Linked DNA regions of Canis lupus familiaris. The protein of the gene in region 1 binds, or shares a complex with, the protein of each later gene. Links are inferred from orthologs where the notes say so. Each region holds a gene or a part of one and is shown in the gene's direction. Other genes may lie near its edges. The genes, in order: STX7 and BET1L.

Region 1 (4,411 bases):
TGCTTATAATTATTCGTGTCCTTTTGACGAAGTTTCTTTGGCTTTCAGTTCCTTTAATCTATTTCCCAAATGAGGAAGTAGAACTAGATTTTCTGTAAGTCCTCCTCCAGCTTTTTTCGTTTGTTTTTTTTTTATACTTTATAGCTGAAACTATTGCCTTATAGAAGCTGAAATACTTTATCTGAGCAAATAATGCTTTCTAAAAGTTTAAGAATATTGAAAAAAGGGATTTCACATAAAAATCTGAATTTCCGAAAGTCTGCAATCAGTGCTAACTGAATCATGCTGCCTTTATTTTTTTAAAGATTTTATTTATTTATTCAGGAGAGACACAGAGAGAAAGGGGCAGAGACACAGGCGGAGGGAGAAGCAGGCTCCATGCAGGGAGCCTGATGCGGGACTCAATCCCAGGTCTCCAGGATCACACCGTGGGTGGTGCTAAACTGCTGAGCCACCCAGGCTGTCCTCCTGTTTCCTTTAGAAGGAATGAATTTCTTTTGCTTGGCCAGCAGACCCACTCTATTGCCCCCCTTTTAGAAGCAGAATAAAGGTGGCTGTCTATTAAAACACTTGTACTGCAGTTTACTTCAGGAAAGATGTGAAATAGGAAATATTTCTGGTTCCCCTTTTTTCTGTTAAAAACAGAACAATTAAAAACAAACTGAGAGACCCTTGTGTTTCTTATTCCTGTCTGACCTCACTCTCTTAGGCACATATGTATGTACACTACTAAACAACCTAGAGTTGGCTCAGATGGTACCAACTCAAGACATTTCGTTTTGATTTTTTTCACCTAAGTGCATCTGGACATTTCATGTCCTGATGATCCTTTCAGAATAATAGTGTTGCCTTAATACAGGCAAAGGCCAACCCATTCTATCTTCTAATTAATTTGCTGAGTATTTCTTTCACCCAATGCAACTGATGCATTTATCTAACAATTACATTATGTTTTAATAGTTACCAGTAGAACATTCTCTGCTTTTTTCAAACCCTGCTGAAACAACACTCTACCCTTCAAGGATGCTTGGAACGACGTGCATGTGCTATGAAAACTAGTCTACTAAATGGGCACACGAAGGTGACTCTTCACTTATGCTGTCTTTGTTCCTGCTAGCATTGCTTATTTGCGTTACCATTTTTTAATGGAGCTGTGGATACGTTCCACTGCAGAGTAAGGACAGGCTGGGCAGGCCCTGATGGGGCAGGCTGAAGGCGTGAGCCTGGGGGGGCCGCCATCACCCGATCAGCGCAGCTGCTCTCCATTCCCTCCTCTGGTTTTTTGCCGTCTGTAAGGCTAGGCCTCGAAAAACACCTCCTTTGCAAATTTTTTTTGGTCCCCCGCCCCCATTCCTTAGCCCAGACTCGGAGGGGGCGGGGCAGAATGGTTGTCACTCAAGCCCATTGGCCAACGAGAGGGGGACGAGCCCCTCCTCCTCCCCAGAGCCGGGTCGCGGGCATGCGCACTGGGCGTCCCAGTGCCACCGCCCATCAGCTGAGAACCGTAGCTGGGGGTCGGGTGCCGGTGGGTGCGGCTGGCCCGAGGAGGAGGAGGCGGCGCGGAGGAGCCGGGGTAAGAGCAGCCTGGGGGGCGGGGGGTCGGATCCCGCGTTCTTGAGGCACTAAGTCCCCGCGGCGGCCGCGCCTCCTCGTCTGTGCGCGTTGCCAGTTGGCCGCCGCCTTACGCTTTGCGGCTGTGGTCGGGAGCCCGGGGGGGCGGGCGCTGCCCAAACCGGGAGCGCCGCCGCGGTCCGCGCCCCGGCCCATCCCGCCCCCCCCCCGGCGCATCCCGCCCGCCCCGGCCCATCCCGCCGGCCCCGCGCCCGCCGATCCCGCGAGCGCTGGCTCCGGTGCCCCCGCGGGTTGCGCGCCCCGGGGCGGGGCCGGCTGGGGCGGAGCTCGGGAGTCCTGCTGCTGCTGCCCGGAGCGGGTCACCGAGCGGTCGCTTCCTCTTTACGACGCATGGAGTTAGAAAACACATTTTAAAGCTCTCTTCCCTAACACAGAGGAACTGAAACTGGATGGCTCGAGAGTAAAGGAACCGTGTAACATCTGTCCCTTCGGAGGCTCCTTGCGGTTGGTTTTCTGTCTGGCTTCAAGACACGCTACCTTTTCTTTGATCTCAGTGTATGTCATTAATGATTTACCCAAAACCTTTAAGAATGTGTAAAGTATTTCAAGATCCGCCTCTCCTCCCCCCACCCCACCCCCCCTTATTGTGTTTTAGGCTGTTGCTTTTTAAAAATTCAGACACAAAGAAAAATACCTTTCTGGTCAAATGCTATATATTTTTTCCCTCTCCGGTTTCGTGTATTTGCTTGGCTTTCCTATAGATACATTGATTTTTTTGTTTGATTTAGATCAGTGTCTTTTGGCTATGACTATATATAATTTAAAACTTTCACAGAATCTGGAAGAAAATGATTCTGAAGGGCTCTGTTGTTGAGTAATGTTGCAGGTGGACATTTTTTCAGGAGCCTTAGCCTCACCCGGGCAGGGCAGGGGCTTGTAGCAGTGTTCAGCCGTGTCTTGGGATGTGGACCGCCTTGCATTGAAGGCCGCTTTGGGAAGTTTGTCTCAGACGGTGACTAATTAAGAATTATGGTCTAGTTTCAGACTTTCCATAGATGTTAAAATGATACCACAGTACCTCCGAATGTCTGCATCATTTTCCTTCAGATGTTTTACTTCTGCTGCTCCCAGTGGTAGAGTTATATCCTCATTTTAGTTAGGATATCAAACTTTAGCCAAGATCTAAGGATGGAAAAATAAATATATAAAACATCTGCAGTAAGTCTGAGTAAAGTTTGCTGCGATTCCATTTAATTTTAAAGTTTAGTGTATGGAAGGGTGAAAAGTAACCCTTGGTATTGTGAGTAAAACCAAATAGTATAAAAATTTAACAGATGGGGATGCTGAGCTAAAGAATTCGGTTAATTTGGTTTAGATAGAGAACACTCATGTCTATCATGGAATGATCGTCTCCCCATTCATGGAACATCCACTATGCGCCTTATACTGTGGACTCTGCAAGGTTGACAAGGTTGTCTTGTGTTTATATCACCAAAGTAGGAATAGAAGGCAATTTACTACCTAGATCATTTTAGAGTGGTGAGTAGCATGATGATAAAGGAAGTTAGATCAACAGAGAGTGCCGGGGTGGTAACTTCTCATTGCAGATCCGAAGTCACCAAAGACTTACCTAGCATGCCATGAGACTTTGCTTGTATAAAGGTGCCAGTCATGTGAAGATCATGGGAAGAGCCTTCCAGGGATAGGAAATGGCACTCAGCAAAGGCCCTAAGGCAATAATAAGCCCAGTACATTTAGGATCTGAAAGAAGACACTGGAATGTAGTGTCTGAGGATTGGTAATGTTTATTCTCAGACTAGGTTTGTGTTCTTAGGAAATAGACACATTTATTCATTCAGTCTTCAGATATTTGTTAAACACCTATTACATAACCCAGTACTTAGACTAATGTAGCACACAGACAAAACCTTGCTCTTCTGGGTACTTATATTTTGGGGTAAGGGGTAGAGTTAAGTCCATTGTTTTATGCCAGTACACACTATTAAGAAGGTGAAACTGACTATTTCTATTGCTCTATCCATGCTTGATTTATAGAGCATGAGATTTATGTTTAATGAGAGTCTTAGGATTCTGCAGTGTGTACAGTAGTAGTACCTGGGAGTAGTGCTTGACACAACTTTTCACAGTTTTCTTTGTTCTTTTATTTGTGCTCTACAGAAAGTCTTGAGAATATCCTTGTTATGAGTATTGCCCTTTTTTTTTTTGTTTTTTGTTTTTGTTTTTTTTATTTATGATAGTCACAGAGAGAGAGAGAGAGAGAGGCAGAGACACAGGCAGAGGGAGAAGCAGGCTCCATGCACCGAGAGCCCGACGTGGGATCCCGGGTCTCCAGGATCACACCCTGGGCCAAAGGCAGGCGCCAAACCGCTGCGCCACCCAGGGATCCCCGAGTATTGCCCTTTGATCCTCTCTTTCTTTCTTTCCCTTTACAGTGCTTATATATTTTCATAGAAATGTAATTGTTAAGATGTTTACATAAGCACTATTCAGTAGAACTTTATGCTGTGATGGAAATGTTTTACATGAACTATACAAATCATTGGCCTCACATGTGATTTTTGAATACTTGATAGAGCAGGTATGGATAATGAGTTATGTTATTCTGAGCAATAAAACTAGGAATTCTGAATGAGCTTTCAAAAATATTCGTCAAGAGTGCTTAAAGCTTGTTATATCTGGGCTAGGTGCTGGAGACTGGTGTGGACAGCAGCTATCAGAATAACTTGGTTTATTCTGGTCTATATGCAAAGATTATAAACTTTTAAGTCATTTTATAGTTAGCTGTAACTATAGTGTATCTGTGTATATGTTTTTGCAG
Region 2 (4,558 bases), on another chromosome or scaffold:
GCTCGGCCGCCGCGGGCGCCCGCACCCCCCCCGCCTCTCCCCGTCCCCCAAGGTGCGCGCAGACCCCGGCCCCTCCGCCGCGCGCCGCCCGCCGCCCGCCGCCCGCAGCCCGCAGGCCCGGGTCCGCACACGCGAGCCCCGCCCGGCCCACCTCTTCCGTGCAAGCACGTTCACGGCTCGCGCTCACCTCCCGGTTGTACGTGCGCAGAGCCTCCATGATCACGTCCTCCTCGCCCGCTTCCACGGCATCCGCAACCACCCGGGGATCCATGGCGCCTCCGGGATCCCGCGCCGAGCCGGCGGGAAGGGGAGCTGCTTCCCGGCTCCGGGCGGAGTTCCGCCGCTCCGCCCCGACTGGGCGCGCGGGGCAGGCCGGGACTGGGAGCGCGCGGGGCGGGGCGGGGCGGGGCGGGGCCAGGGCTGCGCGCGGGGCAGGCCGGGACTGGGAGCGCGCGGGGCGGGGCCAGGGCTGCGCGCGCGGCATGCCGGGACTGGGAGCGCGCGCCGCGGGGCGGGGCCAGGGCTGTAGGTTCATTAAGGGGGCGAGACCTGGATCAGCTGGCTGGGACTTGAGTGTTTTGCCGGGGAGTGAGCGCGAGTTTCAAAGGTCCTACTAGGTGATTTTTCGACCTCGGAGCTGAGCGGCCTCCGAAGCTAACGGGGACCCACTCACCTTCCCACGCACGCCCCCCTAGATGCCTAGCACCAGTGCAAGTCCGGGGGAAAAGCGAAGTGGGAAGGACTTTGCGGCCCCGGGACCCGCCGACCGCTGGTTCCCGGCCCTCTGGGAGCGTGAGCTCGCACGTGAGGGCAAGGAGCCACGGGCAGCGGTCTCAGCGCTGTGGCGAATAAAGTGGGCTGCAAAGGGATGTGCGGAAGTAGCATTTCTGCTGAGGCCGGACGATAAGAAGGGATCCGGGGGAAGGTCGTTCGGTGGCCGCGGCGGGGACGCAAACATGTCCCTGAGCTCCAGGGGAGGGCGGGGAGGGTCAGGATCACCGGCAGCCACGTCCCAGGTGTGTGGCCTGGACTGAGCTCCCTCTCCCGTGTGTGTGGTCGCAGCGGTGCCCGCCGTGCAGCCAGCCTTTGTGGGCCGCCTCCGTTCCCGCGGCGCCGGGACCAAGGCAAGAGGCACCGGCCGCTACGGCCTCTGCTGCCCCCACACTCCCGGCCCCCGTCTGGCTTCGCTTCCCTTCGGAGTGCGTCACCCTTGCGTCTTCCAGGCCCTGGCCTCCACCGCGTCCCCTCGGCAACGCCTGGGGCGGGGACCCGCGGCGACCCCAGCAGCCAGGCCCGCGGGGGAAAGCGGGGACGCCCGGAGCGGGACCCGGCCCCGCCCTCCGCGCCATTGGCCGCTGGCGGCGTCTGTCACGCGTCCTCGGCACTTAAGGCCCGCCCCCCTAGTCCGGAAGTCGGCCGGACGTCGGCCGGAAGTCGGCGGGCAGAGCGGAAGCGGCGGGGTCCCGGTCCTCCCCGGTTGCGCCACGTCCGCTGAGGCGGTGGCTGGGCCGCTGGCGGGGCGGGGCCGGGGACGGGGCCGGGGGCGGGCGCCATGGCGGACTGGGCGCGGGGTGAGCGGCGGGTTGGGGTCGGGGGGCCGCGGCTGCTCCGCCCGGGGCCTCCGGCGGGCGGGCCCCTCGCGTGCCCCAGAGCCCCTGGTCTCCCCGGGAGGGGCGGCAGGAGCCGAGGGCGGGCGGCGGGACGCTGACAGCCCGCCTCGGCCTTCGTGCGCACCCGGGCCCGCCATCGGGGCGTCCGGCCCGCCGCACGTCCGCGCCCCGAGCCCGGGCGGTGGCCGACGGTCGGGGTCGCCCCGGGCCGCGCGGGGTGCGGGGGCCTCGGGCCTGCGCTGCTCAGCCTTGGCTGCCGGCCGACCTGCGGGGCCGCCGCGCCCGCGCCAGTGCTGCTCCGAGCGGCCCCGCCGGGTGACTGCCTCCCAGCGCGGGCCCACCCCCGGGCGCCGTCCTCCGCGGGCTGTCCGCGCTCGCGCCCCGGCCCCGGCCGCGGCCCCTGGCTTGTCCGCAGGACGGAGGGAGCCCCGGGGCAGCGCGGGGGCCGAGCAGGGGCCGCGGCCCCCCTCACCGGGGCCTCCGCGCCTGCGGTCCTAGGCTCAGACTGTCCCTTCTCGCAGCCCAGAGCCCCGCGGCCGTGGAGGAGATTCTAGACCGGGAGAACAAGCGGATGGCCGACAGCTTGGCCTCCAAGGTCACCAGGCTTAAGTCGGTCAGTGCGGTCCTCCCTGCGAGCGGGGACAGGAGGGCAGAGGCTGGGGAGGGTCCCGGGCTTCCTCGGGGCGCTGGTGTCTGAGGCCCGGGGAGGCCCGGCCTGATCCCGCCGGCGGGTGTTGGCGGGTCCGCTGGCCTCGCGGGCGGGACCCACCGAGTCTTTCTGGCCTGACCTTGCCCCCCGCCCCGCGTTCTGAGCAGCTGGCCCTGGACATCGACAGGGACGCAGAAGACCAGAACCGGTACCTGGACAGCATGGTAAGGGGCTCCGTCGGCGCGGGGCGCGGGCCGCTCGGGCAGGCCCTGGTGGCGCTGCGGCACCTGCGTGGCAGTCGTGGAGGCGCCGCCCTGTGTGACCTTGCTGGGATTCCTCCCTCAGGACTCGGATTTCACTAGCATGACAGGCCTGCTCACGGGGAGCGTGAAGCGCTTTTCCACCATGGCGAGGTCCGGGCGAGACAACCGGAAGCTTCTGTGTGGCATGGCCCTGGGCCTGATCGTGGTCTTCTTCATCCTCTCCTACCTTCTGTCAAGGGCAAGGACGTGAGCCACCAGAAGCCGACTTCTGTGGGTGCAGGGGCAACCAGGGTCTTCCCCCGCCTGGTGGCCTAGGCTCCTGAGGACCTACCTGCAAAATACTCCTTTGAAAGGGGGATCCCGGCCTGGGAGTTTTCTTGCTGTGTGCCTGGGAGTTGACGGCTGCCTGCGCCCAAGTGAGCTCCTGTTGGCTGGTCCCATGCAGTGCAGCTCCTTCCCTTGGGGACACCAAGCCCCAGCCCCTGTGCTACTCGGGGTGTGGAGGCCCTGGCAGAGCTGGGTGTGAATCCTCGACGTGGCCACCTGTGGCCAGCAGCCCTTCCTTGTCCCCTGGGGCTTCGACGTCTTGAGGCTTTGGGTAAGGTCACGTCCGATACGTGAGCAGCCTGGAGCTGACACAGGAAGGGGGTTCGGTTATGAACTTTGAGCACCATCTGCTCTGTTCAGAGGAGCAGCTACTCGGTAGGGCTGCTGAACATGGGCAGGTCTGCGCCAGGGGTTCCGCCCCGAGGTCACGTCTGCCCCCCAGACCCTCGGAGAAGGGCAGGGGGTTGTGGATGAAGAAGTGGACTTCAACCTTGGCCAGAGGCACTGGGCCCTGATCCTTCTGGATCCACAGTCTTGTATTCAGGAGCAGGAACTCAGGATCTACCTAACACCAAAGACGTATTTCTGGGAGACCAGAGATGGGAGCTCTAGAAGGGTTTCTGTCTGTGTGTTTGGGGTGGGGGTGCAGCACCTCTGTGGTCAAGACGAGAGGGCTCCCTAACAAGTTTTATAAGACCCAGGGGTCACCGGGCAGCTTCCCCTCCACCATGTGAGGCCTTTCAGCAGTGAGTATTCCCTGAATAAGGGGACTCTTCATCATTGCCTCATCCCTGGCCTCTCTTTGAGCCCTCACTGCCCGCTTGGCCAGCCCCATGTTCACACAAACCACAAAGTGCAGGCCCAGCTGGGCGTCCGCACCCTCGTATGTGCATGAAGACACATAAGAAATGATTTGCTAGCTGTGTCCTCCCCGGTTCCTTCCCCTATATTCCGATCCTCTGCCAGCCCAGTCGCTCCCCCTTCCTCCCAGAGGACAACTTGGTTTGCTGTCCGCCCATTCCCCCCCTCATCCCGTGGGTGATCACACGTGCGCCGACCACACATCAGCTCCGTTCTCTGGCCCTGGGCGCCTCCCCTTCAGCACTGCCGCTGCTCTGTGTTCTCCTTGCCTCCCTCCCCTCTCTTGCCCTTGTCCCTGCAGCAAGTTTGGCACGTGGTCATCATAGCTTCCTTATCTCCTGCACAGCAGCTATTGGGCTGCTCGGCCTCATCTTCTGAGTGCCCTTAGCCTCCAGATGCTAGTTGCTCATCCAGGGAGGTCAGCTGGCCTCCCTGCCTGTGGAGCTTTGCTGTGTCCCTGACTCGACGTTCCCTCTCGGGCCCTGTGGTCTTTCCTCCGCAGTCGCCACGTACACACCGTGGATCTGAGTTAGCTCTCTGGTGGTCTCCTGCTACGTCTTGTCTTGCCACCGGGACACGTCCGCTGGTCACCAAGGTTAATGGAGCCTGCAGTGTCCATCTGGCCACACGGCAGGTGCACCCGTGGCCTGCGTCCCCCCCCCCTCCCTGGGCCTGTGCTGCTGACCTCTCCCTGAGAACATGCCTCAGCTGTGAGAGACACACCAGACTACGGGGTCGATGTGGGCTGGTTTAGGTTTTGTGTTTCGGGTAGTCTTGACAAGTGCTTTCTGCTGTCCCCTCGAGACAGCCCACGGCTGCACACTGTCCTGCCTCCCCACCTCCACTCC

Evidence for each region.
Region 2: STX7 (region 1) and BET1L share a complex: the UniProt entries of both Homo sapiens proteins name them as parts of the SNARE complex. The link is inferred for Canis lupus familiaris from reciprocal best matches to the Homo sapiens genes STX7 and BET1L.

Annotation. Positions count from the first base shown.
Region 1 is NC_049222.1:25,723,592-25,728,002, reverse strand, and holds the start of STX7 (syntaxin-7), read left to right. Parts: upstream 1-1,439; 5' UTR 1,440-1,573; intron 1,574-1,907; exon of another isoform or gene 1,908-2,127; intron 2,128-4,411. UniProt on the Homo sapiens protein: May be involved in protein trafficking from the plasma membrane to the early endosome (EE) as well as in homotypic fusion of endocytic organelles. Mediates the endocytic trafficking from early endosomes to late endosomes and lysosomes.
Region 2 is NC_049239.1:25,711,037-25,715,594, reverse strand, and holds the start of BET1L (BET1-like protein), read left to right. Parts: upstream 1-1,464; 5' UTR 1,465-1,552; coding exon 1,553-1,571; intron 1,572-2,131; coding exon 2,132-2,223; intron 2,224-2,426; coding exon 2,427-2,483; intron 2,484-2,604; coding exon 2,605-2,772; 3' UTR 2,773-4,558. Other genes in the region: RIC8A (synembryn-A), read right to left, coding at 188-271. UniProt on the Homo sapiens protein: Vesicle SNARE required for targeting and fusion of retrograde transport vesicles with the Golgi complex. Required for the integrity of the Golgi complex.